Linked DNA regions of Drosophila melanogaster. The protein of the gene in region 1 purifies or fractionates together with the protein of each later gene. This does not show direct contact. Each region holds a gene or a part of one and is shown on either strand. Other genes may lie near its edges. The genes, in order: fest and Rbp4.

The links.
Region 2: the proteins of fest (region 1) and Rbp4 purify together in Drosophila melanogaster (affinity purification with western blotting; one study listed by BioGRID). This does not show direct contact.

Annotation. Positions count from the first base shown.
Region 1 is NT_033778.4:19,334,639-19,351,993, forward strand, and holds fest (wurstfest), read left to right. Parts: upstream 1-7,170; 5' UTR 7,171-7,445; coding exon 7,446-7,733; intron 7,734-7,929; coding exon 7,930-8,313; intron 8,314-8,374; coding exon 8,375-8,553; intron 8,554-8,615; coding exon 8,616-8,792; intron 8,793-8,926; coding exon 8,927-9,073; intron 9,074-9,143; coding exon 9,144-9,407; intron 9,408-9,585; coding exon 9,586-9,688; 3' UTR 9,689-11,116; downstream 11,117-17,355. Other genes in the region: Rgk1 (Rad, Gem/Kir family member 1), read right to left, coding at 11,415-11,459; CG34045 (uncharacterized protein), read left to right, coding at 97-150, 323-550.
Region 2 is NT_033777.3:13,647,677-13,663,027, reverse strand, and holds Rbp4 (RNA-binding protein 4), read left to right. Parts: upstream 1-6,633; 5' UTR 6,634-6,723; coding exon 6,724-6,765; intron 6,766-6,826; coding exon 6,827-7,083; intron 7,084-7,147; coding exon 7,148-7,431; intron 7,432-7,543; coding exon 7,544-8,239; intron 8,240-8,326; coding exon 8,327-8,334; 3' UTR 8,335-8,472; downstream 8,473-15,351. Other genes in the region: B52, read right to left, coding at 1-73, 624-731, 797-867, 1,169-1,294; Hrb87F (heterogeneous nuclear ribonucleoprotein at 87F), read left to right, coding at 2,641-2,688, 3,380-4,391, 4,464-4,561; rin (rasputin), read right to left, coding at 11,462-11,854, 11,969-12,219, 12,531-13,959.

The DNA.
Region 1 (17,355 bases):
CAAGCGTGATGATTGGTGGCATCGGGAAAGTGGGTATCATTAATCAGTTGAGCATATGTTTGTAATGTGGATCTCCTATTGCCACTACCATTGCAGCGTAACTCGAGCAAGGTGATGTCCTTCCGACGCGACTGCCAGGACAAGCCGTTGGTAAGTGAAACCACAAATATTTGTATCTCTGTTTTAATCTATTTGTTATATTTAAAAGTTCTTTAAATTAAAGTGACATTGAATAGTGATTTAAAAAACGATTGCAGTTTCATTTGAATATTACATTTATGCTCCACTTAAAGCCACATTTATTGGTTTCTTTCTCCTGCAGATGCTGTATGGCAATAAGCCAGATGAAACGTTTCGCACTTATTTCACATCCTGCCAACAGGACCGCTGCAATGGACACGATGGTCGGGTTAGGAACTCGACAAATGGAAGTGGGGGCAGCGGTATACACAACGCTATTATTCCTGGAAAAAGTCCTGGTCAAATCGCATTCCTTAGCCCCTGGATACATATTGTTTTGATTATCGTGGCACTTTGCCAGTTTCCATAGTGAATAGAAAGCTTTCAATACCTTACCAAAATGTCTTTAAAAAAAGTAGCAAGATATCGGGTAAATGCACTTTTTCAAAATATTTTCAAACTTGCAACATATGATTGCAGTTGCTTGTCCCATTGGAAAAACCCACTTCCAAAAGCATGAGTTTAACAAGGGTCCGCTTTATCCTACTATAACATCTAACTGCCCCAATTAAAGTTGCTTTTTTTTGTGATAAACTCAGATACCTTTCAACTAAGTAGGGTCTGCCGATAACCAATTACAAGGCCATTAAACGAGGCCACACCAACTAATTGCTGCGGTTCGAGGCCAATTGCAGGCGTTGACAAAGTTTTGCGTGACTGCGATCCAGGATGCAGGATACCACAACGGTAATTGCAGCGACCGCCAAGCTTTTAGGCCAACATCATTGGATCAAAGGTCGCCTTTGAGTTCCGGCATGTCCACGCGCTCAAGAACGACTATGAATTCCAGCTAATGACACTAAATGGCGACGCTAATGGCGTCTTTCTAATGGATTCGCTGACATCTTTACGTGTTGATAGTTGAAAACTCAAGTGCGATTGGCAAAATTCTAATGTAAATTCGTTTGAAGGCTGGGCCGCCAAAAATGCAGGCCAGTTAGCCTCGCGAATCGAATATAATTTTTGGATAAGCAATCAGTTCGACTGATTGTTTGTTTGCCTTGCCTCATTTGTGTTGCAACGAATAAATCTGAAAGCTTTCCTGAGTCCTTGACTTCTTGGGTACACATTTCTGAATTTGTGTTTGCCGAGCTTCACGCATTAAAGTACCCATGTGTAAAACGCCCGCCCGTTTTCAGTTTCCAGTTAACAGTTTCGTTTGACACGCTTTTGGCGCTGGCTAAAAGCAAACAACAAACAAACAAACAAACAGCTGCGACAACAACAAGCACAACGGCCAAGTTTACCCGCCCCCACTGACAAGTGCGAAGTGGGTGGTTCCGCCCCTTTCGCATTTCCGGTTTAACTCCCTTCCGGCCAGACAGCAAAAAATCGAAACTCAATCCCGAAGTGGACATGTGCTCTGCAAAATTGAATGACACGCCGGTTTCCTACACATTTTTTTTCTCCCACGAACAAGCCATCACTAAAATAATTCAATTTGAATTTTAATATGTTTTAATTTTGGATGGAGTGGTGACCATACCTTGCCATACATATAGATGTATCGTTAATATTAAAAACCGTCAAAGATAATAAAAGTTTTTAATAACAAAAAATTGAGTAAATTAAATTTTAAATTTAAAATTTCTTTCCATAGAAATAAAATACACAAGAAGAAGTTGGCACCTTTAAAAGGTACATGAGTTAAACACAACATATAGTATTTATTTAAACTTGCGCTTGTATTTCTTAAAACATGAAAGATAAAACAACTTTCTTCATTAAAAGAAGGCAAGTTGCAGGTCGCAAAATGTGGAACGTTCCCTAATTAAAACGTTTTTGGTCTCATCAAGTTATACAAACAATTATTTGTAATTTTTCGTAAATTAAGAGGGCGGCAGGAATGCAAACATCAAAGTGGAATGGGGCTACTTAAGAGATGCCACCATTTCGGAGCAGGAAGTAATTTTTACTCGACAAATATTGACTTGATCCCAATAAGAAGACAGCGCTGAGAAATAACTTGAAAGCATTCCGCCTCCATCGAGCTGAGGTGATCCGATCCCAGTGAGGTGTGGGTGGCGCAAATGGCCGATGGAGGATGAAGATGTGCACTTGGCGGTGGCCACCGCAACGGACCGTAAACAACGGAGACACACGAAAATGGGCAGCGGTTGTGGTTCATTTTTTTCCCCATTCGTATTCGCAGTTATCCGGCCCCCACAGAGAGCTACGGGAATTTTACCTCACAGGCTGCACTGCGAGAAATTAGCTATCGCAATGTGAAATTTCTGAATTAAGTTAAGAAACAAAATGGTCAATTCATTTGTATATATTGTCAAGTAAACTAATAATAAATAATATTATTATCGCAATAGAAAGGACATCTTCCATTAAAATTAAAAATTGACTGCATAAAAAAATTAAGATCAAGATGAAAGGAACACTTGTTATAAATATTTATTGCTCCGACTGCATCAGAAGCCATTCAAATAAAACAAAGAACATAATTATAGGCAGAAAATAAAAATCACTTTCACTTCGTTTATTTGTTTCGCTTCGTGTAAACTGCAAAAAGGTGTGCTCGCTGCAGAAATTGTAAATTCACTCGCCACGAAATGAGGACGCCACGGAATGTTGACAGTTCTCGGGAGGATGGCCATAGTGATGGGTTCTTGCTGCGACGCGATGGAAATGGTAATGCCAATGGGAATGGGAATGGGAATGGTTCCACATTTCTGAGTCAGCGGGTTGTCTGCGCTAGATGTTCAGCTTTTGGGGCTGGGGAATTGCAAATAGTTCAGTCCGATTGTGATTATTCGACGCTCGGTCTGGTTATGGCCAATTGGCAGTCAACAATGGCTGGGTGTCCCGATGATTCCATCAGTACCAACCAGTGCGTTGAACCCGTCCGTCTGGACGGCGTGTCTGGGCGATTCTTTTGCCGCTCCGGGAATTGGAAATAAAATAATGGCACAAAGCGAGCGAAATGCGTGCCCCGGAAACTATGGAACCCATTCTCTCTCTGCTCTGCAATTGCCAATGCATTTGTAATTGTCTCTGGGTGCGGATACCTTGTCCGATCCGGGGTATATTGTTCTATTAAACGGACAGTTTATTCCACTCGAATGCGAGTCATACATATACATATATCCGCTTCTATAGACACGGCTCATCAAATAAAGCTCTGAGGATGTGTTATAAAATTATACAATTCATTTTGACAAAATTCCCCAAATTAATATGCACCAAAAACAACAGAAAAAAAATATAATATATATGAAGGCGGAACAGGCAGAAGTGAAAGCCACTTGATTTATACCTTCTCGGGATTCTTGAAGCAAGGTGGACCCCAAAAAGAAAAGAAAACAGAAGAAAGTAGAACAGTTTCGGGAAAGTGGGCGTGGCACCTGCCAAGAGGCACGTCCGCGTTTCCCTGGCTCTTTGCACAATTCTTATGTATAAATTTGTACAGTGGCTTTCGATGTGGGTTACCAATGAATAAAATATGAGGAATATTCTAGGGGCTGTGCCAAGTTCGTGCGGTTTTCTTTGATAAATGAAAATTTAAGTAAAGTAATTAAAATTAAATAAATAAAGTTGCGGTTGCTGGCGGTGCGGTTTTATGACTCTTTACTAAATGACATGAATTGAATTTTAAACTTACCAATGGCCTTAAAAGTGGAAACTATCTTTTCCTATAAACGTTATTCATTTAAACATCCCACTTAAGTTTTAATGACTATATTTTATCGACAAAAGCCGACTTTGCTGCCTACTACTTGACAAAATCCAATTAAATTGATAAAAACTAATTAAAGTGTGTTGCAAAAATCACGTGCATGGCTTATGTATTTCCCATAACTTGTTGACATAATATTTCTTAAAAAGTAGAAATAAAAAAATTAAAATTTTGATGTGTGAAGGATGTTCAAAACAAAAAAAAAGAATGGATTGCCATGCCTGAGCCAACTTATCTTGTGCATTCGTTGGCGAGGCTCTTTGTAAATTTTGTAAAAATAATTGCTTCGCTCACCGATCTTTACAGAAATGATTATTGATGAACACTTTGGCCTATTTTATCAAAATCAAAGCAGACGCGACAACGTCACATTTGCCCATCAATGAAGCGTGAAATTCAGACCGACAACGCGGGCAAAGCGCCAGCACACATTAAATCTTGCAAAAGTTTAACCCAAGCCAAAAAAAAAAAAAATGGGGAAAAAACCGCCTGGCACACCTTTTCGATGAACTATAAGACCATAGACCATAGACCATAGACACGAGCGTATGAGATGGGTGGATTTTTTGGCAAGTGCCGAAGAGCCGATGACGTCAAACGGCGGCAGTTGGCCGTTGGCAGTCGGCAGACTTTTGGCTCAGACCACCAATTGACCAACCTTTCAATCTGTTTTCATATAATTTTTTATTTTTTTGTTTTTTTGGGCACGCGTAGGTGGTGGCTTCTTCGTCTCCAGGAAATCCCTGTGAATCACCTTGCAGGGGGCCGAGGTGGGGGCACGGGACTTAAGGGGATTGTGTAAACAGAAAAGTCACCAAGGAATTCGACGCGGCCAGAATAATGCCGGGAATGCCAAAATATTGATGGAAGTCAAGCCGAGAGGCTTTTAGCGTCGCGTGCCTGTCGGTTGAGATCCGTAAATGTATGTGCATCGGATTCGGAATATCTGTATATATATATATATATATATATATATATATATATATAGTGGGTGAGTGTAATTCCATAGCTGACAGCGGGGCGGCATTATCATCTAGAGGCGACAACAAAGATCTCCCGCTGAATGACCAGACACATTTATTTGTTTACACAGCTCGGTTGCCGTTGCCTCATCTTGACAATCAATTAATTTCCATCCCGTCCCATCCCAACCGATTCCAACCCAGTCCATTCAATTCCCGAGCACCTCCTGCCCCCCAGTAGAAACTGAAGGGGCTGGTATTGTCGACAAAGGCAAGTGGCGTCGTTGGCGCTAATTGTTTTTAATGAAAATTGCTAAGGATTTAATAAGGAAGAAGGCGCTGAACAAATGGATTTTAAAAGCCATTTCAATTATGCCATAAGTTTCTCATCAATCTGAGTGGTCACCACTACCACTGGCACTGCCACTCACGCGAACGGTGACGTCAAAGATTGCAACACTGGCCAAGTCGGAGTCCTATGCACTTTCTATATATAGCCGCTACACTAGTATGGATTTTATGATCTTTGTCTGCGCCAAAGTTCACTGACTGCAGAAGGCGAAAATAGTTTTCCACATTTTAACGAGCTTCGGCAAGTAATAGCGAATTTTCTCTATTCATTTGGCTGATGTTCTCCTTTTAGTTTTCATATCAAATGTGCCTTTGCCTTTACAAAACGAGCGTAATTACAACTTGAATTCAAAATTTAGCAAACTATTCCAACGACGCTCGCTGAAAATCTGAATTTTCAGCTGTCTGAATATTTGCGAATATTTTTAACGATAAATACTGAAAAAGGAGGTTAACCAATTTGTTTCACTTGCGGCTGGCGAAAGTGACAACGGAAAAATCACTTCGGTGGACGGGGTGATTTTTACAAATGAGTTTCCGTATTTCATTGAATGCATATGCGATTGCATTCCTGCTATAAATATATTACACATTTTCACTTTCAGTTGGTGTTGCTCAAAACTGAGTCAATGCGATGCGTGGGCGGAATTGCAGCTGCAGTGGCTGAATTTTAATGATCCGACCAAGTGCCAAAAATAAAATTTAAAAAATATGCCAGCCAAGTGTCTAAATAAACGCGTCCATTTAAATAGATATGATGGCGAAAGTGTCAATCTAAATCTGCGTGGGCCGATGGCCAAATGCAAGGAGTCAATGCGCTCATTAAACAAACTAATCCGCGCAAGAAAAAACTGAAATCAAGAGGCAAAATCAATCATGAGAGCGGAAAGAGTTGACAGTCGTATACAAAAAACACAATAGTTCCGGAAGTTCAGGGACTTTGCACACTGAAGGTGAGTTAGTGAACCCACAAAAATGGAAATAAAACGACCTTGGGGGTTTGCCAAAATTGTGGCTAATATGTCAACATTCAGGCAAATAAAATGGCTAATAACTGACAAGAAAAACGATTGAGCAGCTATTACTAAAATATATTATGATTTTAGTGTTTATTCATTAAGAAATAATCCAAAAATTTGTAGCTGTTCGACTGGAAAGTTCTATAAGAGCAGTTTACATTTCGCAGAAACTTTAAATGCCAGTTCTTATTTAATATGTCAATTTAAAAGTTTCAGTTGAATGTATAATACATTTAAATTGCGTGATTGTTTGACTTTGACAACATATTTAAGCCACGTTAAAGCAACAATTTAGAAGGGGATAGCTTTTTATTAGCAAAGTACTAAACTGTGCTACGTGCAAACATCACTTTTATCTGACTCTTGACATTTCCTGCCAACGCTTCAAAACTTTGCAACTCTGCGCACTTGTTCAGCATTTAACCAGCATCGATAAGAATGACGGCACTTTCTCTTGCACTTTCTCCCGTTCGGAAAATGCAGTTTCCCAATAAATCTTAAAGCCTAAGTCTTTTGCTGCAGCTTATAGCTGCGTAGAAACTATACAAATGAGCGGCAATAAATTGCTGGAAGCTGCACTGCTGTGCGTGTGTTCAAGTCTATTTCTCGATTCAATTACGAAGGCGAAACTTCGTTTTCCGGCCACTAAAAGCGAGGAGATGGGTTGCACTACAGTGTCGTCCTTAAATGCGTTATTTTGAATTCAATCAGCTTTTTGCCGTCTAAAAGTATGCAGCACTAATCGGATATACGTTGAACTTTCACGGGAAATCTAAAAGTGCCAGGGCTTCAAAGGGACGAAGGGAAAAGTAAAGTATCGTGTACTCGATATTACGACACTTTCAACTATCGAAAAACCCGGTAGGCCAGTGAGTGTCAGAATTGATGGCACATCCTTCCATCGGCACTTGAGGCAAGTCATTCTTTCGAAAATTGTCGCAGCGAGCAGTGCTCTTGAAAAGTCATAAAAAGTAAAAAATTAAATTCCTCTCATTGAGTCGTTGTGTTCCGTGTCGAGCAGAGTACTTTGATTTTCGCTGTCCAGCACGCCGCGTGTGCCGTTCTCGTTTAGATCCACATACCAAAGTCCAGGCCCCGTTTCAACCAAGAACAACAACACCATCATCCATCACCCATTCGATTCCATACGGTTTTCCCATAAATTTTGAACAATCGAATCTTGACAAAATGGTTACCGACGCCCAGGACACCGTTGCACCTAAGACCAGCAGCACCAAGGAGGTGCAGTGCCAGCACTCCGGCGCCCTGGATGAGCCCCATGTCGAGGAGCTGGCTCTACCGGGCCCCGCCCCCTTGGCCACGCCCAAGAGCGGCCGCGTTGGCATCTTCAATGCCGAGGACTTCTTGTCCCGCGCCCAGTTGAACGACAAGATCAATAACATCTTGCGCTCGCCCACCAAGGCTCCAAATGGTGTGCGCCAGCGTTCCGTATTCACCAACAACAACCCATCGCCGGTGAGTAGAGTTGTCACTTCTCCATAGGATTGCCTTCATTTTGAAGGCATATGCAAAAAATCGTCTCTTTGATTTTTGCAAGTCATTTTTGCAAGTCATATTTTCTTAGCATTTTTTGCAAGTCATCTTTTCTTCCCATTTTTTGCAAGTGATCTTTGATGTACCATGTGATACCTTTTCCCTTACCAATCCCTAGCAAGCCACCATGCGCTTTGTGTCATCGATGAACAGCCCATTGGCTCCACGTATGAGCAGCCTTTCGCTGACTGGCGGAGTGAAGCGCGGCTTGGAGCGCGGCAACAGCAGCAGCAGCATGGGCAACAGCGCCAGCGTGGGCACCAGCACCTCCGTCCTGGCCAAGGAGTGCTCCAGCCAGACAAACAGCTGCGGCCGCAGCTACATGAATATGGGCATGCACGCATCTTCCCACTCGGGCTTCGGAGTCCTGCCGCAATCTGGTGCCGGCTACGAGACCATGGGCTGGAACATGGATGCCGGCAATATTACGCGCAGCGGCAAGAGTCTAACGGGACGCTTCAACTCTGGCTATGGCTATGAGGTGGATGGAGCCTACTGCATGGTAAGTGCTTTGATTTATTGCCCCGTGTTTCGTATTTTAGAAATATGCGATATCTACCTAGCCACAGGCACATCACACCCAGCAGTTCCCATCGCCAATGCCACCACCACCTTTTGCTATGGATCGCGTCAGCTCGCGCACTTTTGAGTTCGAGAACAACACACCACCACCGTGTCCAGGATCTGGACCGATTGCCATGTCCAATGGCACCATCCAGTTGCGCCTGCGCGAGGGCGTTCGGTAAGTGAACGTGGTAGGAGATTTATCCCTTGATCATCATTCCAAATCATTCCCGATTCCAGCATTGACATGACCCTGGACAAGGCTGTCCGTGTGCTGAATCAGCGCAGCATGGTTGCCGCCGCCTTATCGCGCAACTGCAGCAACTCTGCCCTCATCCATCCCAATGGGCGCATCTTGCAGAGCGGCTCCAAGGTGGAGATCGTCACCTACGACGGAATGAAGGCCAACAACTTTGTGTAAGCTTAGAAGTAGAATCGAACCTTTACTTTAAGAGTGGCAAACAACTAGTATTTTGGAATTTAAACTTGTACTTCTCATTAGATTTTCGTATAAAATCTATGCAACTATAGCTGCAATCATTTTCTTCCAGTCGCTATGCCAAAATGTGGTACAAGGGCGTTAGCTTCACCAGCGAGTCCTGTGCCCTCATCTATCTGGTGGACACAGCTGGCACTCGCACCACCACCGATACCTTCACCGACCTGACCAAGGACTACACCTTGGCGGTGTTCTATGAGTGAGTTAAGCACGAAATTTGCCCAAATCAATTCGCCAAGCTCCTCTTTCCAATTAACAACACCCTCCAGCGATTCGCGCCACGGCCCATCCTTTGTGTCCGATGCCCACGACGTAATCGCCAACTCCACCTACAATTGCGCCGAGGACGGCACCGAGGTGTATGACATCAATGGATTCCGCATCACCCAGGCGGCCGACGGCCTGGTCAAGGTCAGCCGCCAGCACAGCAAGTGCCTGATTCGCACCAGTCCGGGCAATGGATCCGCCACCCTGACCACCACCGGCATCCACTGCACGGCTTCGTTGGGCAAGACCTCGCACCTGTTCGTCCGGTGAGTTGGCCACTGCATCCACACCTATTTGCAATAATGATGCACTCGAAGAATGCATTGTTCTCGTCGTATATTTATTCGATTATAACACTGATAGTGTTTAATTGATTCCATACTTTTGCAGTAATTCAGTTAATCGGATATTTGAAGATTCCTTTTGTTCTTTTTTTTTTTGCAGTCGTAATGAGAAGCGCATGCACTTCGACGGATCCTGTTTCATTGTACGCAATGCTGGTCACTCGGCTGGATTCAATGAAAACAACCTGCTCATTGTCTACTAAGTACCGCTCGCACCATGGGATGTGCATCGCGTTGGGTGGCCATCCAAATGCCACCTATAGCCACCCAGCGTGGGCAATCGAAAATCACCCCATTATACCACCACCACACACACATCACAGAAAACACACACACGCAAACCGACTCAAGCGTCGATATAGTGACCCCCCCAAAAAAAAAAATCAAAAAATCCAAACAAAACAACATTGGAAAACTGGGGCCTCGGCGTGGAGAGGGATCAGATCATTTAAGAAAACCTGGTCTTCTAAACAAAAAAAATTATAAATGTATAACTGCATTTAAGATGAAACAGCTCGAAAAAATGCGCGAGCAACGAAAACTGGCGATCCTGATCCTTGAAGGATTGCTTTTCGATTGCTCGACGTAGGCGCAACGCAAACACTAGGGAATTAGTTTTAGATAATCACACTTACAATCTCTCTAGCCCTCGATATCCTTGTTTTTATACGCATACCGTTATTTAGTACAGGCAATTCAGGTGGAATAGGCTCTGGAAAATCCACCTGTTGCCTGAAACGCTGGCCAAGACAATGCTATTTCGATCAGGGCCAGCGTTTGGTGTTATAAAAAGAATGAACTTGGTTCGCGTTTCGCTTCTTTTCGGCCCTCACAGTATAGCAAAATTAAGTTTCCAACGATTTTTTAAACGTTCGACACGTACTTGAAATGCAACAAATTCAGCAAGATTGAAAATCGAAAGTTGCAAAATTTCCACAAAAAAAAAAAAATAAGCAAAAATTGATAAAATCGCTGATATCAAAATTAGCCTCTGCATGATAAAAAATTAGCTAACAAACGACGGCTGCTTTGGCCAACGTAACACCAGTGACAATTCAGTTAGTTCTAAGTTACCAGTTAAGATTAGTTAAGTTACTACAATCCAACCATGTTCATCCTCACACAACACACACACACTCTACAGCGCAAACGTTGCGTAAAATGTAAAATGAGTGGACTTAGTGCTTAAATTTCCAAGTGTAGACGGAATAGTACCACTACCACACTCGTGGAATACAGATACACGCACACATGCACAAGCACACACACACACACACACACACGACAGGCCAAAGTGAGAAATTGTGACTGAAATGGAATACAATTAATTAGCTTACGAAACAAACGCTTATCTGAAAAAGGCAGTCGTCTTTGAAAACAAAGTTAAAACACGTGCACACTTTTAAACACCATTCCTTAAAAAAAAAAAAGTGAAACGCCTTGCAATTATACCTGTGTAGCCTTACAACAACAATCTTCAAAACTCTAAATTTAATCCTCATGTATATCGAAATTTATGTGCACAAAAATCGATGTCAAAAAGTAATACATGAAAGTCCTGAATAAAGTAAATTCTATCTGCGCTACTGTAATAGATTCGTATAATTTTGTTAATTCTCATGGGTTAAATCTGGATCGAGATACAATTTTCAGCGGCTCCTGGCAACCATATATGACCTCATACCTTTCCTCTGGCATTGTAAAAGTACAAGAAAATTGCTTAACGACTACAATTCACATTACAACCCTGTTGGAGGAGTTGTGGCACCTGAAGGGCCATCAGGACTTGAAATCTTTTCGGGCTTAAAGAGTTTGCGAGCTATGTAAATATTTAAAGGAATGAATTGCACGTTTAAAAGTAATTGAATGTTTGCCAAAAAAGGTTTTCATATACAAATATTATAAAAGATGAGAGGTCTTCATGTTTACCTGCAAACAAATCCAAAAGCACAACGATATGGGATCGGCAGTCATGCAGACCAAGCTCTCCAACAGACTTAACCTGGAGTTGGAGCCGGAGGAGCGGCCCGTTGGCAGTGGCTGTTGATAGAGATTAGTGGATAATGCTGGGGCGGAACTATATGCCACGGCTGACTCTGTCATAGGAAGAAAGTGGTTCCATGGTTAGCGGGTACACAGAGAGAAATGGCGGGTGAGCGTAAGCGAGGCGGTGAGCATGGGCAGGTGCGGAAGCCACAAGGCAAGGATACTCAAGCGGCGGTGATGGTGAGTGTCTCCAGCTCAGGCGGATACAAACATCTAAAAATGCGTTTACTCTAGTGCTGCGTATTAAATAAAGTCGCTAACCGAACCCAGCAACCCGAACCCGGCTGAATCCTGAATCCGAGGTTATGTGGCTCAGCAGCTAGGGAGCCATAAAGGGCGAGACCCACACACACACATATGGCATATTCAATGCTCACGCTTGCGTGACTTGGTCGGAAAAATCCGTTGGATGGGAACGGGGGGCGTATACGGTGCCATTTGCCTCTCGCACCCGTGCTCAACATCAAACGCTTTTCACACTTAATTGGGCGTAAAATTAAATCAGAATTGATTAAAACACTTGAATGACAGCAGCAGTCGAAGCCAGAGCTCCGGTGCTATATGGTCCCGAATTTGAGAACCCGGCCAAAAAGTCTAAGCATAAACAAACTTTTTGGTTCCCATTTTTCCAGCTGACGCATGGCACGTAGCATCTCATCTGACCGAGTTTTCCACCCAAAACCCCAAACTCAAGCCCAAGCCACCCCCACCCCACTCCTCACCACCCATCGACATCCTCTCAAAAAGGACTAATTGCTGCCTAGAAACTCCTCTCTTCTTCCGCCTTTTGCCTTTAGAAAGTTTATCAAATTCAATTTCCGACAAAAGTTGGAATGGGCTGGATAGGCAAGACATCAATTTTTATATTTTACCATTTAATGGGCTCTTCAATTATGCGAGTCTCGCTCCACCGGTATTACGTTCACATTAATACAAATTCAATGAGGCTTAATTCCTGGCCATAAATCGTCGCATGGATTCGTTTCACCTGTCTTCTTCTGTGGTCATGCAGCAAATCAATTCGATTTCCGTCGAAATGAAAGAGCCATCGCATTGCAACACTGCAACTGCCGACGATAATTGCATTTTAACCGATTTACCCAGGAAAATCCCAAAACTGAACAGACGGCAGACAGTAAAGGATACACCCATTCGTACTGCGTGAAAATTCAGCTTCGTTTAATTTAATGGGAAACGAATGGCCCACGGGGGGTAAATGAAAAATTATGAATATTTACCCCTGCGGATAAGAGGCTTAAATTCAACCGGCAAGATAAACGCAAAATACATACGAATTTGAGTAACTCCATCTGTCATGGTGAGCACTTCATCCGAATCTCTATGTTCGGATGCGTAAGCCTGAGGTGACAGCAATCAAATCAATCAGACCAGCCACCTGAGCTGAGCGGGAGTTCAAAGTGAGTGGTCCCCAATGGATGTTTTCTCCTTGGCGGAGCTGTTAGCCCCCAAAAACCCATAAACGCAACATGGCATTGGCGAAAGGGTGATTGTGAACGACATGTTTCAAGTATATATCGTATATCAATGACAAAAATGCTGCTTGCCAATATCATGACACAATTCATAAATTATTCATGAATAGAATTCATTCGAAGGTAGATTGGGGCACTCTAAAACGTCTGCTTCATCAGAAGTAATTAAACTAATTAAGAAAGTAGCGAAATTCATAGCAAGCCTACGTTAAGTACAGTTAATCCCTTTTTTCTTTTCTTTTCTATTAAAGAGTTAGGAATATAGATTAAAATTGTAAAATTCTTACGAATTCGATTACCCGTGTGTAAATATTTTCTAACTGTGCGGCAATAACAATTGAAATGTAACAACAGGCGAGCGTCAACATTATTATAATGGCGTTTAATTAAGCCGCTGAGTAAATCCCCTCTCAACACTCTAATTTGAATTGGCAGGCCGGAAAGTCAAACAAAAGCCCCCGCCGAAGGCCAAATATTTCGGCCTAATCCACTTGGCCCGGTCCGAAATAAGGGCTTTATAAATTGGCAAAAGAATGGAACGGTGATGATGGCCGATGTTCTCCAATAACGAAAGTTTCGGCCAGCTGAAATGCAGGCATGGTAAATTTTCCAATATTTTCACATTGCAATCTGTGGTCTTACGTGTCTATTTTTTTTTTTGGTTTTGGCCAGAAATGATCTGATTTTGGCCATGGCAAATTTGGCACATGCTACCTATCATCAGCATCGTCGTCATTTGATTTTGGGTGAAAAAGGTTCGCGGTATAATATGGTGGCTATATTTGCAAGGACAAGGCAATTCTAATTAACCCGCTGCCTTTGCCAGAATTGCAATGCGTGAAATCGCTTTAAATGCAAACCCTAAATCTCATTAAAATTCCTCAGCATGTTGTCGTTGCCATCCAGCTCAAGTGTCTCCCATTTTCTTGCCGGGTTTTGTCTGAGATTCTGCAGCAGATTCCGTCTGCGACTTTACCATTTTCCCAACCACATTCAACAGCCAATGGCAGTTATTTTCAACGACGGTTTAATTAAGTCTAATGGTAAAATGTTGTTACGCAATTATGTCGGTGTCGTTGTTTTCGGAAATGTCCTTTAAATTCGGGTCCACTCACGTGCTGACCCTGTTCCATTCGACCCTGGGTAAACCAATTTGCGGCCCACATAGGGTGAAGTAAGTGGAAATCGAATTACCAATAACGAGACTGCCACAATAATTTCAGTTAACACCTGACCGAAACGCCAGTTGATAATGGAGCCTACTGTCATATCCTTTTACCAATGCTCCAGCGAATTTCATAAATGTAAAGCTCGACCATTTTTAGACTTCATTAAAATGGGTATTTGCATTTGACAATAAGTTTGAATGTACATATTTCTAATACCAAACCAATTTAAATATTAATATTATCACACATCATATATATAACAATTCAAGCTTGCGGTGCACTTTTGGGGAATTATGCGGTGTCAGGTGTAACATACAAAATACTTCGGCAATGGCGGCTTCAGTCTAGCTTTTGTTACCTCCCCCAGATATGGCTAAGGATTCTCTGCGGCATATCTGCGGTTGAGCCATTGAGTACTTACATGATGGGCGAGGCCATTGATGTGGCTACCGTCTGCTGCAGATCCTTTTACCGAAGATCCTGTTGATGCAGCGGCTCTTTGGCCCGCTTCACTTGACTTTAGGGCAGCGAGCGCGGAGTTAGGCGAAGATTCTTGGCAATAGCTGCTGCACCTGCCACCGGCGCCTCTCTCCGCGATGTGGGCGTGGGCGTGGCCGTGGGCGTTGCTGTGGGTGCTGGCAAGGGGCAGGGGAGAGGCCGGCGGGGTGGGTTGTTGTGGAAGAGAGGGGCCCGTTCTGTTGCGTAAACGGGCCAAAGCACTCCGTAGACCCTCCGTATTGTCTTTGTCGGGCCCCCGTCCAAGCGAAATGCATCCGCAGATCAGTCCACCAGCCGCCTACAATTCAGTGCCAGCTCCTAGTTGCACCTCTGCTCCACGCCCTGATTGGTCCTTGGCCAATCAATTAGATTGCACTTTAATCTGAGGACTTTAGGCGCCTTGCTGCACAGTTTGCAATTGCAAGCCGCAAGGTTTACAAGTTTCGAAGTTGTCGTCGCTCCGAGGAAATTACTAAATCTTATTTGTAGTTGAATTGTGTAGTGTGTGGTCGAGATATATTGTTTTTTAAATCGAATTTAAACGCTGCGATAGCGCGGCTTGTAAACTGAAGTCCAAAGATACTGCAAGTATACAAAACAAAATATATTTTATATTAAAAGTGGTTTCAGTTCAAATTTGTATGACCCTTTAAAGCGAAGCATGTTTGCAAGAGAGACCAATTAAAACTGTATGATCCGAGTTGCTGCTAAAAAAAAAAAATATTAGAAAAAAATCCCAGCTATTCAACTGTACGAAGTCGTGCTCCTTTTTTCGCAGGAGTCATGTTTTCCGGAATGCCCCCAATTTACACTGCAGTAGAAACTTGCCTCGGGCCACTTTTACTTGGGGTAACAAAAGACCGTCGAGACTGGTTGATGATGCGCCCGAGGTGGGAAAAGTGAAACATAATTTCCGACACACAATTAAAAGCCAGGTCCTTTGGGCCCCCGACGGAATTTCATATTCATATTCCGTCCACAGGCGACGGAGCCCACTTGTATGTTTTTGGCCCTGTTGCTGGCTTTGCCATTTTGCCATTTTGCTATTTTGCCATTTTTGTTGTGCATGCGAGATTCCAAGAATCCAAGGCTGCTAGGGTGGGCATGTGTCACCGGGAAAAGTGAAAAACAGCTTTGGCGGGTCAACAGCAGGAGCGATGAAAAGCCGAAGCGAAGTCGGAATGCCCTTGGTTTAGTTCATAACGAAAGCAAAGAGTTAAAATGATGTTTGGCTCTAATTCCATAGCCATGATCTAAAATTCGTTCAAATCAGCCATAAATAATATTCTGCAAATTGGAAGTTTTCTTCAAACATGGAAATGCACACGAGCAGCAAAAGCCGAATTATGGCACATGTACTGTGCTATTGGGCATTCACACAATTGAGTGATTTCAGTGGAAAATCGAAAGCCGTGAATTGGAATATGAGTTTCCTCTTGCTCGGCCACATACGAAAATTCTGAATACACAATCCTTTCATCCAGCGGCACAGATTTTTCCGGGAAAAATGCTGGAACATTTAACATGCTAGATAGATAAAGTTAGGTTTTGCCTAATACCCTTAATTTTATATGTGTTTTTGGGACTGGCAGACAATAAATTTCGTTTCGTAAGGACAACCGTTAGTCATTCAAAACAAATGTAAATTTACCGAAACAATAAACGAGAATTGCGCACCGGGGACTTTGCGGTTGCTCTGCAGACATCATTGAAGCCTTTAAGACCAACGGCTTATTGCAAAGTCCTTGAACTACAATTTGGCTGGCACAGTTAAGAGGTCGGCCACGCCCCCCTGTCCGCCCCACGGGTAAACAGGTGTACGGGTATGCAAATGTCCCAAGTCATTAAAATGTTGCCTCAGATAATAGTGATTTATGGCGGGTGCAAAACGAGAAACATCAGCAGAGCAATTCCTATGACAGACTCGAGATTCAGGACACTCGTGACTGAAGACTCCAGGATGTGCACGGAAATGCGATGGAAGACCAAACGAATGTTTTGGTCAACAGGAGGGCCAATAAACAGGACCATAAAGGCAGCGCTTTTTTGACTTTCGAGGGGCAGGGTCCAATGAACAAGGGAAAAACCATTGTAAACGAAATCATTTTCTGGGTAATACAAGAAACTTTTTTGCAATCTCATCGTTTTGGTTGTGCGCCTGTATGGGTGATGAGTGTGTGCCTTTGGGCTCGCTTCGAAAGCAATTTAGTCGCCAGTGGCAGCCAGCAATTATTTTCTCATATTACGTATACGCAACGCGTGCCCAATGCGCTGTTAGCAGATTTATTCTTCCATTATGAGGCAAACAATTTTCTATTACACTGCTGACTTTTGTTATTAAAAGCGAAAGAAAGAAGCGGCCAACGGAAATAACGCAAAAGTCAAAGCTGACACAAATTCTTCTCCCCTGCATTATTTACATAATTTTTATCACAAAAAAAAAATTATATAAATACAAAAACGCTGGCATGAATTGACAACGAAATTCTCATTAAAAACAGGGGGACTAGGCGGAAAATTAACTTTGCACTCGCTACAGGCGACTGACTACCAAGTGGTCATCGAAAAAATGTCCCAAAATGAGTAAGTGAATATAAATAGAGTAGACATTTGCATTTCCATTGAGTTTGTGCCTGGCGGGAATGTCTTTGTACTATTATTGCT
Region 2 (15,351 bases), on another chromosome or scaffold:
ATTCTCCACAATCAGTCGGTACTCAGTGCGCAACGGTGGGCCATAACGAGAGGATGATCTGGAATTTTTGTTTCTGGTGAATAATTGAATGGATTCGCTAATTAGTATTGACACTGCGCTGCTGCTCCTGATGCTCCATCACAAAAATTAACGGTAATGGTGAATATATTCCAGCATATGCATATTTACATTTGGGTTATGCGCAACAAATCAAACATTTTACATACTATGCGGATGGGTGGAACGTGCAAATAAAAGCAACAATAGTATGCATAGGAAAACGGAGCGTCTTGGAAATGATAATATTAACAGCAAGTCAGTGTCTTTTGGTTCCCTTCCACGCAGAAGAAATCAGCTTATACGATTGCACTACCAAAAGTGTATAAAACTATAGAAGTCAATATATAATAAACTGATGTTTTTTATATATATCGCAAGTAGCTAATATTATAGGTATATAGATTTTGCACGATCTAAGCTGGTTGCATCTGTGTGGATGGAGATATCAAACGAAACAAATTGGCAGTGCTAATTCTAGGGCAAACTTCAACGCAAACAAAGTTGGAGGACGATATCGTCGCTACTTTGGTCCGGTTTTAAGGTCCGCTGGCAGTACTACTTACTTTTCGTTGTAACGACCGCCCCCGCCCCCCCGCCGACCACCATATCGATCGTCGTAGCGGTCGCGGTTGCTGCCACGAGCGGTACCCCTGGCGGGTTCAACAACCACACTGCAAAAATATAGAACATACAATCGTGAGTCATTTCGTACTTTGGCTTATATCTAACAACTCACCGTTCGCCAAGCAGCTCTTTGCCATTCAGTTCATAGACGGCATCGTCGGCATCACGATAGTCTTCGAATTCCTGAAAATTCAATTAGTGATTAGTATTGATTATGGAATTAGTATTGAAGCTACCCTGCCTGTGCATACTCTTATGGAAATACGCTGGGTGAATTTAAGAACAGTTTTTAAGCGTCACTGTATTTGACAGACAAATGATGGAACAAATATAGGTTCAAAAAGAAAAAAAAAGTATTCAAGGGTCGGCTTGAAATGTTAGGAAACCTATAGACAAACAGAGAAATGCAGAAATGTCTTCAAATCAAATTTAACCGATTTTTTTTTTTTACATATTCCAGTTAAATATGATATTTTGTACTCACCACAAAGCCGTAGCCATTTTTGATGAGGATGTCGCGTGTGCGGCCGTAGCCTTTGAAAAAGCGCTCCAAATCGCGCTCGCGCACTCCGTAGGGCAGACCGCCCACATACACTCGAGATCCCACCATGATAACGGTTCCTTACGTATCTGGAGCAGGTGCTATAAAATAGTGAAGTATATATATATATATCAGCAAGGGAACCGTTGCAGTTTGCAGCTTCTATTTTGCTCGACTGTCCTTTAGGAATGGAAGAAAAAAAAAACGCACATATGTACGCGCCGTGTATGTTTCGCCAAGATGGCGGCCACCACATACACACACACACGCTCGCAATGTACCGGGTGTACAGAACCGCTGCAAAAACGAGTTAATTTAACAACGCGAAATACGCGCTGTTCTTCACTTAAGCGTACTCACTAGCACGTACCGTTCAGTGAAGGATATTTGTGGCAAATTTACAATTAAGTCGCTGCCGTACTCTCTCTTTTTCAGGCTTTCCCACACGAAAAAACGCAAGCGACTCGACACAAACGGAAGTGAAAGTGACAGACGAAAGCGATGTTTGACAGTCATTCCAAAGGCGGAATGGAACGATACTTTTTCGCCTATCGATATTTTGGGCGGGCAATGCGTTTCGCTGCGTTAAGGGTATTCCAGTTGCTGTTCGTGTTCCGCTATGAAAAGAATAAACATTAAATATACTTAGTAGTAGCATTTGAATATACTGTTAACAACCTTTTTATTTTGATATCTGCTAGCAAGCACTCATTAGCATTTTTTAACGTTTCTGATTTGATGATATACATAAAATGTTTCTGGATTTATTAATTTATTTCGCACGATGTCTTTTTTTATTCCCAAATGCCTCATAGATCCCGTAATTGTAATATTGATTGACCCTTAGCTGGCTACTTACAAATATACAATTCAATACAAAATAATTTACAAGTTATCTCTTAAAGTGAAGCCTTCCATCGCCCCAGCTAAAGCGAATGCTCGCAGAAAGAGTTATGTAAGCGGTATTAATAATAATACATATTTAGCTAAAAAGTTAAACATATTAAATGTTTCTTGGGTTATCGTGGTAGTAATTATCATAATCCATTTATAAAGATAATACATTCAAATCCGTTTGTTCAGAAATATATACAATAAACTTGTCTAATATTTTTAAGCCCTTACTAGACGAATACAAATTTATATGAAGATATATAAAATCAAGTGTGGCATCAGCTTAATTGTCGAGGAACACCCCTAACGCACCGAAACAATCGTTCCGATTCCACGTGGCGTCCGATTTTCCGACTTTACCCCGTTCTCGACACCTGGTCATACTGCTCACTCCATTCTCATTGTGCGTGCTGTACATTTCATTTATTGCCAGTCTGCCGTCAAAAAAGAACAAAAACAAAAAAAATATTTCCTGCGTTCGGTGTTTAAACTTTCCATCTTCTTGAACAACCAAGGAGAGAATGGCGGAACAAAACGATTCCAACGGAAACTACGACGATGGTGAAGAGGTGAGTTGCAGAATGACCAATTGCTGTTTGTAAATCGTTCATCGCGCGTGAAAGTGCAAAATGTCGACGCCGACAATATTCGTGTATAATATACATTCACGCCGCTTTTTTACCGAATTATGGGGGCCATCGATCCCTGTGCGAATTTAGCCAGCTAAAAGTTTATCGACCTCTTTTGGCGAGAAATATAAGCAATTTCCGATAAAAAAGTTGCCGGCTGTTTGATAAAAAAGAAAACGAAAATTCATACATACATACACATATACGGGCTGTCATGGCGGTGCAAATACTAAAAAAAAAAAAAAAAAATATGGCGAGCGGCTTTTTCTCGCCAGGTAAATTACTATTATAAACAATGGCAAATCCTTGTTGATCAAGGATGATTTTGCACTTTTATCGTTTTATTGACATAAACTTATTGACTTATTGACAGCAACTTATTTTTTTATTAAATTTACAGCAACTTATTATACATTTAAATATTTTTTATACATTTATTCATTTAGATACAGTATGATTTTTTTTTTTATTATATAAATTTATACATTTTTCGCAAAGTTTGTCCAAAGAAATCAATTAATTTAATTTAATATTACAACTTATTTTCGAATCAATGGGTTTTTTTTTTGTTTTTAGAAATTATTTAAATTATAGAACGTCTTTAGCTAATGCATTTGAAATTCACCCGCAGATCACCGAGCCAGAGCAGCTGCGCAAACTGTTCATCGGCGGACTGGACTACCGCACCACAGATGATGGCCTGAAGGCTCACTTCGAGAAGTGGGGCAACATTGTCGACGTGGTGGTGATGAAGGATCCCAAGACGAAGCGCTCTCGCGGCTTCGGTTTCATCACGTACTCCCAGTCGTACATGATCGACAATGCGCAGAATGCCAGGCCACACAAGATCGATGGACGCACCGTGGAGCCCAAGAGGGCTGTGCCACGCCAGGAGATCGATTCCCCGAATGCGGGAGCCACGGTAAAGAAGCTCTTTGTGGGCGGGCTTCGAGACGATCACGATGAAGAGTGCCTGCGCGAGTACTTCAAGGACTTTGGCCAGATCGTGAGCGTGAACATTGTTTCCGACAAGGACACCGGCAAGAAGCGCGGCTTCGCCTTCATTGAGTTCGATGACTACGATCCCGTTGACAAAATCATCCTTCAGAAGACCCACTCCATCAAGAACAAGACCCTGGACGTGAAGAAGGCTATTGCCAAGCAGGATATGGATCGACAGGGCGGAGGTGGCGGACGCGGAGGTCCTCGAGCTGGCGGTCGCGGTGGTCAGGGTGACCGCGGCCAGGGAGGCGGTGGCTGGGGAGGCCAGAACAGACAGAACGGTGGGGGCAACTGGGGCGGAGCTGGCGGCGGCGGAGGATTCGGCAACAGCGGCGGTAACTTTGGAGGCGGTCAGGGCGGCGGCTCTGGCGGTTGGAATCAGCAAGGCGGAAGCGGAGGTGGTCCATGGAATAACCAGGGTGGCGGCAACGGCGGCTGGAACGGTGGTGGTGGCGGCGGCTACGGCGGCGGAAACAGCAATGGCAGCTGGGGCGGTAACGGTGGTGGAGGTGGTGGTGGCGGTGGCTTCGGAAATGAATACCAGCAGAGCTACGGCGGCGGTCCACAGCGCAACAGCAACTTTGGCAACAACCGTCCAGCTCCTTACAGTCAAGGAGGTGGTGGTGGAGGATTCAACAAGGGTATGTTGGGTTATTAAGTGATTTGACCATAATGTACATAATGTACTTAAACCATGCATTTATTTTTTACAGGTAACCAGGGTGGAGGTCAAGGCTTTGCTGGCAACAACTACAACACCGGAGGTGGTGGCCAGGGTGGAAATATGGGAGGCGGCAATAGACGTTACTAGACAAGGTAAATATAGATAACCTGGACGACAGGTCCTATCCCATCGTACAATCTCAAACGCTCGGATCTTTGGTCGTTATTGGCAGCTAGTTGGTAGCCTAGCCATGCAATCAAACTCATTTCGGAACGATTCGAAGCTAATGCAAAATTTTCTCCTCTTTCGCAACTAGGTAAACACACATAGAGAGAGAGAGTGTGTCAGTTCAAGCTAGACGACAAACAGGCAGTCTAGGCAGGCAGATGCAGAGGGACAAGCACATTCACAGGCAGGCAATCAGTAGCATGTGTGTGTCAGACCAGGCAGACAAGATCAGAACCAAGAAATCAAGATGCAGAACCAAGAACCAGGCCGTGCGCAAATGCAAACGATAAATCAATCAATCAGGTTTGGGTCCGGCCGCAACCTGCAGGCTATAGCCATAATCCACTTGTCAAAAGCACCAAGCAAATGATTATGCGTCAAGCAAAACAGCCAAAAGCGAAACGAAACGAAATCCAATCGACGCCACTTGTCCACAGTTTGAATGCTGCTATCTCTCTTTTGTAACCATTAATAATTCGCTGATCGATTTATGTTTAGGGTCCTAAGAACCCCGAACGCTTAGTTTTAACCATAAACAAACAAAAGAAACAAACACAACAAAATATAAATTAAACAATAATTTTATTGTACAAAATTGACTACCAACTGAGCGGCGACGGATTCTCCTTGAGATTCAGTCGTTGTAAGGGTGTTATAAGGTAGAGCACTTTCTTTATATTTATTCATGATTTTATTGTTTTTAGCGATCCAGCGAAATGTAAGAAATCAAATAGTACCATATTTTGTAATCACTTTTTTTGTACAACTAAGAACCTTTATGATTTGTGGCAAGTAAGATCCCAACTCCTGAAATGCGAATGCCACGCACATTTGTGTACAGGCTGCACAGTGGCCGAGAAATGGTGTCCTAGCGAGCAAAATCCATATATGCATACCAACTCTGTTAGTCCCTAAGAAGTAGATGCTACGTTAAGCCAGACTAAAAAGAAAAACGCTAAACAAATATCACAAACATTCTGTAATTAGTTCGTTACGAGTGAAACGAAAGCGACAAAGAGATACAAGCAAAATAAAATCCTAACCAATGTTACCTACCCACCCAAAATGAAACGAAACGAAATAATCACAGGAGCAATGCCCTAGCAAAGAGGAGCAGCAACTGCAGCAAAATCCGGGTTTTCCGATCCATCCCAGATCGGCAGGGTAGCGGGCAGGGCTAATTACCGTCACTAGAGACCCCCACCACCTAACCCCCGGGCAAACCGCCGCATACTAATGCACTGACTATTTCTTTGCAAGACTGGCCGGGCTACGGACGGAAGCTCCCTCCCGGGTCCGTATACGAAATCTGGGCTGCTCCACGCACCGGTTCGTTTCCACCAGGTATTAGTTAATGGTTTTAGACCGCAAAGCAAGCGGTGGCCCAGGAAGAACTCACTGGTGGACTTTGGTTGGTGGCTCCCTTCTGGCTAACTTGGTGGGTACAGCGGAGGTAAGTGAAGGTAACTAGTCGGTATTCTACTAACACCTCATTTGTTTCTGAATTTTTCAATAAAGTACAACTTTTACTAGCAAGAACAAGAGCTGTATTTTATTTTCTGGGGGCGATATTTTATAGGGTTACGTATAAGGGTTTAGGCCCTATCGATTTATTGGCCTATTTGTATCCAATAATGCTGAATCATCTAAAAGTGACAAGAACTTTCACTACCAAGAACAATTTGTTCTATGAATACCATAAATGTTCAGTGGATTATAGCCGGTTTTCGAAGGACCTAGCTTTCTGGATTGTATTACGAACTAAATTCTTATGAGATCAATGGGGTTTTTCTTCTAATAATGCATAAGTAGGGTTTTTTGCTAGGACTACGAAGCAAAAGAGGCGATATTATAGGGATTTATAGGGTTACGCTTTAAGGATTCAAACCCTATCGATTTATTGGCCCATTTGCATCCAATAATGCTGAATCATCTAAATGTGGCAACAATATTTTTGGACCTTTTTCGATAGTCCATAACTATAGACGTTTGGATTTTCTTGCCTGTCATTCAATTTGTGGTTGGCTTCACCTGAGTGCTGTAGTAAATCAGGCTATTTTAATTTTGACATCTCTTCGAAAATGGATGCGGGAAATTGTGCCTCGTCGGCCTGCCTTGGAGATGTAAGCTCATAATCCCCCAAACTATTCATAATTATCAACGAAAGTCGTTGTGTGTGTGCAGTGCAAAGGCGACGGAAAGACGGCCATTAAGGAAGAAGGCTACGAGCATTTGCGCAAGATCTTCATTGGCGGCCTATCCACTCAGACGACCGTGGAAACGCTGCGCGGATTCTTTAGTCAGTTCGGTATCGTGGCCGATGCGGTGGTCTTGCGGGATCCGGTGAGCAACCATTCTAGGGGCTTTGGCTTCGTCACCTATGTGGATCCCAAGTCCGTGGAAATTGTCCAAAGGGCACGTCCCCACACCATTGATAATAAGTGAGTAGTTCTCTAATAATCTTTCGCTGCCCTAATTCTATAAAAAGTTGATTAATTAATTTAGAATTGTGGAGACCAAGCACGCACTGCCACGTCAAGATTTCAAAAGGGGTGGCGGCGTTGGTTCCGTTGTCGGAAGTTTTGGCTGTGAAGCCGGTTTCATGAACTCGAAAAGGATCTTTCTGGGCGGCTTGAAGGAATACCACGATGAGAATATCGTACGCGAATACTTTTCGCAGTTTGGCCCTGTGGCCAGCGTGAAATTGCTCATGGACAGGGAGACCGGACGTCAGCGGGCATTTGGCTTCCTCGAGTTCGTGGATCCATCCAGTGCCGAGAAGGCATTGGGTAAGTTTCCATGTTTCTCATTTATTGAAAGTCATCGTGCATTTTTTTCAACTACCTTTAAGTATGATATAGATTAAAATCTGATGATAACGCTGCTTGCTTTGATTTTCAGCACCGCGCAAGCACTGGATTCTTCAGACATTGGTGGAGGTGAAGAGATCCACCCAGAAGGCCGACAGGCGTTTTCGGTTCCCCATATTTAGCTCGGTTCGAGCCGGCTACATTCCGCCCCAGCCGGCCACTGCTGATAGCTACAATTACAACAATCCCAACTACAATCCCTATCTGGCCCAATCCGTCCTGCCGCCATCGGCATTCACTAACGGCTGGGCCCACTATGTAATTCCGATGGCACCCAAGCCAACACCCGGACAGAACATGGCTGCTTCGTTGCCGTCACAGCAGCTGGCAGAGCACTCGCTCAACGGACACGGTCCGGACATGTGGTCCTCCTATCCGAAGACCGGTATCTACTCGGCCCAGGAGTGGACTTCCAGCAAAGTGGCCGAATGGGGACCGAAGGCCGGGCACAAACATGCCCAGACATCGACCAACGATCGTGCCAAAATCGATTTGAAAGAACTCCAGGCAGCTACTTTCAATAACAAGCTGGATTTCGGCGCCCGTGGCGACGCGGATCGCATGTCGGGAGCTGGCTTGGGATTGGGTTTGACTGGCGGTGCCGCCGTGGGAGTTGGAGCTATTAAGAAGTGGCCCACCCAGGACTATAAGGTCTTCAAGCCAGCTAAATCTCCGACCAACGGAGTGATTCCGAAGATCGGCAAAGAGGCTACAACACCACCCTACGGTTCATTTTTTTCCTTAAAATTTAATTTAAATTTAAATTTAATTTAAGAAAGAGAAAAGAATCTAAAGTATCTTTTTATTCTTGCAGGTATCTAAGTGGCGGACGATGGAACGCAGTTAAACCCAATTTACTGCCACAGTTTAATGCTATTACTACAATAATTTGCAGGCGATTCCGTTCAAGATATTTAATAAATAATAAAGCATACGGGTCCTTTTGAGACTTAAAATCGTAAACTCTTGTTCTTTATTTATACTATTTCTGTTGGTTTTTTTTTTATGTTTGTTTCCATTTAAAGTATTGCATGTATTGCATGAGTGAATTGATTTTTCGCAAATGTTTTATATCTGAAACGCTATAAAACGCACCAATGAATTGTGACTGGAATTTTGTGGGCTGGCTTCTTCGACTGGCTTGTTATTAATTAAAATTATGCAAATTGCTATCGATTGCTCGGCTTTGTGCGCATCAATTTCATTTAAATGCTGAATGCTCAGTAGTTCTTCAGTTGTTTCAACACAAAGGCAAATGGGAATTGGATTCAGTCGCTGGATAAGTAAAGTCGCCTTGATAAGTAAAATTACATATCCTTGTGAGTTTTTCCTTTCAGATTTCTAAATCTACGACTTGGTGTTTCTTTTAAACGCATTTACCAGAAAAGGAAATACGAACCGATCCAAAACAAATGTGTGTGTGTGTTTTTTTTTTTTTTTTTGAAATGAAACAAAATCATAAGTTTTCTGGTAAACACGCTGAATCTTTGTGATTGGTTTTTATTATTATAGTTATTTTGTAGTTGTACACATATAAATTAAATTATAATTAAGTGTTTCCCTCCTTTTCTCTGTACTCTTTACAAACTGCAGTATTGTGATTTCATCGGTTTACTTAGAAATGAGCATGAACTCTAATTGTTTGTTTTTCGTTTACTCTTACATCGATTTAGTTAGTACCTCTGATTTGTATTGTATTGTTTGATGCTGTTTTCATGTTTCTTATTTTTTTTTTTGTTTGTTTATTATTTCTATGATGTTGTTGCTGGCCACGGAGCACTTTCAGCACTGATCGTTGAGCTAAGGTTTGAACACTAACACTTTCGTTTTACAAAAAATGCACTAAAATTGCTTTAGACCCTGTTCACAGTGCTAGAAATGCGTGGTGTTATATAGAAATAGTTGTGGAAATTGCGATTGTAATTGATTTAGCAATTGATTCTCTAGGGCAGGCGTCGAACAACAAAAACAAATGATATGTTCCCAACGAATTAAAAGTCCTTAAGCTTTAACAAAACAAGAATAACTTGGGCAATTATATATATTTGGACGCCTGCGACAAAACTCAAATGATGCTCACACGAATTTAATGTTTTCAGTTTCCTAATCGCTTTTCTGCCTTATTTTTATTTTGCAGCAGCAGTTATATAAATATATATATATATATATTTATGTATATTTAGATTTCTGGTAAGTCTAAAAGTTAACATTAAATTATATGAGTTTTTGTTTTGTTTATATATATTTTGTATATATTTGTTGTTACATGTTTTGCTTGTTTTACCTTGAGAAAAATGTTAGTAGCTTGTGTCTCGTCCCCCAACTATTTATTATAATAGGTTCTTGTGTGTTTATATGCTTCACATCTTCTCTACTCATTTCGTTTCATTCTTTTTTTGGGCTTTTCTTGATTTTATTTAAAAAATATGTACTAAATTTTAGTTCACAACTGCGTTGGAAACACCAAATCGTTTAAGTTGCTTGACTTAGTTTGGTTTACGACCTTGAACTTATTACACAGAACGAATAAAAGAAAAGCGAAAACACTGACCGTCCGTCCGTCCGTTTATTCCTGACCATCGATTGCATCGAACACGCACCCACCTGCGGCGCCGGCACCGCATTTGCCCTCATCACACGCTCTCATCTCCACACTCTTCCGATCCAAACCGATTCGAAGCGAACCGAACCGTTTCGAACCGATACGATACCTATATAGACTAGCTAGTCTGCAAATTAGATTTAAGTAGCAAAAGGTTTACAGGCTCTAAAATGCGGCGGACTTTCTTTCTGGGGCGCTAAACGTCGACGTCGATGTGTGTTTGTGTTTTCCTCGCTTTTCCTCCTTGCGGCTTGGTGCTCAATTGATTTTCCTTTCATTTTCAATGTTTTTTTAAAGAGGTTTGTGTTCTTGTGTGCTTGCTTTGCTTATCGTGATCTTATTTTTGCTTGTTTTTAACCGCGCCTTACATTTTTCTCGTGTTTACATTCCATTTTTTTTTTTAGTTTTTAAATTAATTTTTTCAAGTCTTTCTTTTGCTCTTTTTTATTGCATTTTACAAAGGTTTTTCATTTTTTTTTCTGTTTTTTTTTTTCTCTTTTACTTCTCTTTATATCTTTTTAGCTAAGTGTGTAAGTTTTCCCTTTTAATTATTTTTTTGTTTTTAGCTTAAGTAATGGTGTTATTCAATGAAAAAACAAACAAAAATGTGTTGCATTGCTCCTTTCCTTCGTATCAAACCAATTTCTTGCATCTTGCGTACTTAAGATAGATTTTAGTTGAAGGTTAATGCCAAACAAAAGCTGAAACTAAAGTTTACATTTATGCTAAAATGGGTGAGTGTATGTATCTTGTGTTGGCTTTTGTGTGCGATCGTGTGTTTTGCGATGAGTGTTTTGTGGGTGTGCTTGGTTGAGACTTAAATTTAATACACGTGTTTCAAGGTGAAGTTGATTCCGTGAGTGGGTGGTGGGTGGTAGAGAGTAGCAGTTGCCGAGCTGAAGCTTACATTCTTTTAGTTTTTGGATTCACAACGAAGATTTGCACAGAATTTCGGTATATTTTGGCACGAACTGGCTGGAAAAAGCGAGCCTAACGCAATTAAACTAAGAAGGGACTCAGGACCGTTGACGCAACTCTTTACATCCTATCTTTCTTTCCTTCTTTTTTGTTTGTAGTTCGACGCCCCGAGAGTTGCGCTCAGGAACATTTAAAGGACAGTTGACGTTTTATGTTGCTCCAACTACTTTATCTTAGTGTATGAGTGTGTGATTTGCGTGTGTTTAATTGCATGAGATGTTCTTGAATGTAATTGATTGATTGCATTGTGGAAGAAGTCGATGTTTTTAACGTTGGGTTGTTGCTGCTGTTCTTGATGTTATAGTCGCTACTGCTGCCGTTGCTCATTTGTTGATGCTTTTGCTGATGTCGTGCTGCTGGACAATTCCCTTAGCGACGTCCGTAGTTGCCACCACCACTCTGTCCATTTCCGGCACCGCGCAGCGGTCCGTTAGACTGGTTGTTGCCGCCACCGGTGCGGTTATCCTGGCGCTGTCCGAATCCACCGCCGCCTCCCAGGCGAGGAGCACCGTTTCCTCCGCCGCCGCCCTGGCGCAGATTGTTGCCACCGGCATTGTTGCGCATCATGCCACCGCCGCTGCCATTGTTGTTGCCCATCGGACGCGACTGCGGACCATTGTTGCCGCCCAAACGGCCCATGTTGTTGTTCAGGTTGTTGCCACCGATCTGCTGGCGCGGCACCATGTCGTTGCGGACACGCGGCTTCTTCTCCTCCACATTCAACTTCTGGCCATCGGGTGAGTTCTCCGGGAAGTATAGGGGCTATGAAATGGAAAGAATATGTTTAGATAACCTTTCTGATCACAGTAAAAGTAAGGAGATAAAAGAGATACCTTAGCAATTCCAATAATTAAATCTACTTTCTGCTTAACTTACGCAGTTCGCCAGGCACTTTTGCACCGCCTCAGGATCGTCGTAGGTAATGAATCCGTAGTTCAGCGGACTGCGCATGCCTGGTGGCACCTTGTTGCCAGCCTTGGACAAAATGCGCAGCTCCAGGACATTTCCGAAGCGTGAGAAGATCTCGCGCAGATCATCCTCGCTGGCGTGGTGCGGTATATTGCCCAAAAACAGCTGCTGATTATCACCGAACTGCTGCGTGTTGCTCGAGCGACGCTGCTCAAAGTCTGTAAAGTATAAACAGCAAGTTATTAGGAAGAGTTTCTAAAAAGCGGTACCCAATTTTGCTTATCATATAAGCCAACCTTAAGTTGATAAGAAAGTAAACCAACAAAATGAATCATTACCTTTCTAAAAATCTGAACGTAAGCCAATCATAATAAATTATAAGGGGACTAAAAAAGTAATTCTTAGAAACCACTGTTTTCATTTCTACATGAGATCCAAAAGTTTGCACTACATCTTTTAGTCTTTTTACCCTGAAGCCGAATAGAGGGGAATGACCCCTTTTAATTTAAGGGTGGAACGATGAACTTACCACCCTTGTTGTTGCGGATCGAGTTGTTTCGCTGCGGCAGCGGGCCACCGTTGTCCAGTCGCGAGTTGCCGTTGCTGTTGTTGTACGACGAAGCGGTGGTGGAGTAGCTAACCTGACTGCCATTACCGCCACCCGAGGTTGCCGAGGAAGAGTTATAGGTGTTGCTGCTGATGGACTGCTGCTGCTGCTGTTGCTGCTGGAGCTGTTGCTGCTGCTGCAGTGCGGCGTTCACAAAGCCGCTGGGCGAGGAGGACGTGGACTTGAAGAGATTCGCGTACGTCTTGGGCTCATTCTGCTGCTGCTTGGCGGCCTCGTACTTCTCCTGCTGCTGCTGCTCGTGAATGGTCTTGAAATCCTCGACGGGCGTGGGAGGCTTCTGCTGCCTTGGCGCCACCTCCACTTCCTCGGGCTCAGCCAGCGGTTGTTGCTGCTGTTGCAAAGGCTGCTGCTGCTGGATAGGTTGCTGCTGCTGCTGCTGCTGCGGGGGCAGCTGTGCCGGTTGCTGCTGCTGCTGCTGCTGGATGAGCTGTGGTGCCACCAGTGGCGACTGTTGGAAGCCCGCGCTTGGCACTGGAACAATGGGCAACACAGGCGTGCCGGTCGGCTGCTGCTGCTGTACCAGGGGAGACACGCTGGGTGGGACCAGCACCTGCTGCTGCTGCAGCTCCTCGTGCGACACCACACCGTTCTGGATGGGCTGTGGCGGCGGAACGGTGAACTGCGCGGGCAGTGGAACAGCAGCGGCTTGCGGAGCTGGTGGCAAAACAGCCACAGGACGTCCGGCGGCAGCACCCGCTGGCAATGGGTAGAAGATCTGCTGTGGGGCAGCACCACCGGCCGCTACAGGAGCTACCTGCTGGGGCACCACGACCTGAGCCTGTGGCTGCGGAGGAGCCTGCTGTTGCTGCGGCTGCTGGGCAACTACATCGCCGGCCACCTGCACAGCTTGATCCACAGTGCCACCGACGACCTGCACATCGTGCTCCTCATCGTTCTCCGATCGCGACTCGCCATCCTGCTCGTCCTCGATGTAGAGATCCTGATAGCGGAAGATGTCGTTGTGCACGTAGTACTTCTTCGGCGACTGAGCGGCCAGAACGAACGTCTGGGTAAAACGCCGCATCGGCTGGCCATCATTGGATAGCTCCCCGGTGACCTGAACCACCACACCGTTGCCCAAAGTGGCCTGGGCATCAACCTGGCTGATCTTCGCGTGGCAATCGTTGAAGTTCAGCTGCTGGATTCGGTTGTGGATCTCCCGCTGACCGACCACCAGCTTGGACTCTCCATGGATGTACGACGAGTTGTGGTTATAGAAGCGATGCAAGTGGTTGGGCGCCTTGTTCAACAGCGTGTAGTACTGGCGGACAAACTCGCGTCCCACAGATTGCGGCGAAGGCTGCTGCGATTGGGTCGCATCCATGACCATAGCTGGCGTTTGATTCTTCCTCTCTGAACTACGGACTCTTCGACTCGGATTCTTTGTCTCCGCTTCCAATTTCTGCTTCCCTTCTTTCTAGCTGCTGCTCGGATCTATCGACACGGTGGCTGATCTGTGTCGATTGAGAGTGTGGGAACGTCTGCGAAATAGTGCAAAAAATATACGCGCACTATGAAAATCTGTCTGGTTTTTTTAATAAAAAAAAAGAAAAGTTGGCAAAAGTCCTAGACGACTGTGTAGATTTTTCAATCTGATAATTTGAAATTAAAGGAAGCTGCTACCCTGTTTCTTACAATCTCCAAAAGGTGTTCAAAGATGGCTTATTCATACCTGTGCCGGTAAAAGTATAGAAACCATAATGAATCACTAGTTGTGTTATCAGTTAATTTCATCACGTGTAAATTTAATTTGGAGAATTAAGGCTTGATAACGGTAAAACACGCAAATATAAGAAACAAATTTAATTGGATTTTCAGACTGTCCATTAAATCAATCTGTGCTTCTTTTACATAAATTTCTAGAGAAATGTGACTGACTACCAAAGTGTTGACCCCTGCTGTGCTCTCCAATAAGGATCTAGAGTTTCGCTTGGTCACAAGGACGGCGGGGAGGGGGGGAGGTTTGTACACCCAAAACAGGGAGCTCATTTTACCGCAGTGCATATAAAACAGACGCAGCGCGCTGCAGTTTGACCCACTTTTGGGGCCCACACACATTTGCACATGCGAAAAGGGGAAATTTGGTGTAGTGCAGCTGTCAGGAAAAATTCCAATTTGCTTGCCGTCGCAGGACATTTAACCCTGCACGTGCTCCAGCTTTTATGCCTGCGATCCTGGCTGACTGAACTTTGCACGTGTGTGTGTGTGCGCGAGTAAATGACCTCATACAATTTGGCAAAGAAAAAAAAGAAGCCGCCAAGCGAGGAGCATGAATTAAATTGAGGTTATGTTCGGGTCTCAAGGTTGTGGCGCCGCATACAATGAACTCCAGCTTGGCCAAAATATCAAATTGCTGCCTTGCAAAAACACTTGAAATAGCGTTAAAAGGTGTAAGTAAATATCAATGTTTGCAGGTGTCCTTTGCCCCATTTTAGCCATAAACATTTGCCGATAAAACAAAAAATGCACAATGAGTTGCGGCAAACCCACACGCACACATATTCGGTTATGAACGCGCCGCTCTTTCGGGTTCTCTCTTTCCCACTCTATTTCTGCTTGCGAACCGCGTGTGTAGGAAGAACAAAGAAAGCTATAGTTGAAGAGCAGCATTTAAACAAAAATGTACAAAAACAAAATTTTTCGTACATTTTTAGGTTATGCACAAGCGATAATAAAAAAAGCCGCTAAAATGGTAAAAAAAAAAATTTAAGAGATAGAGCCC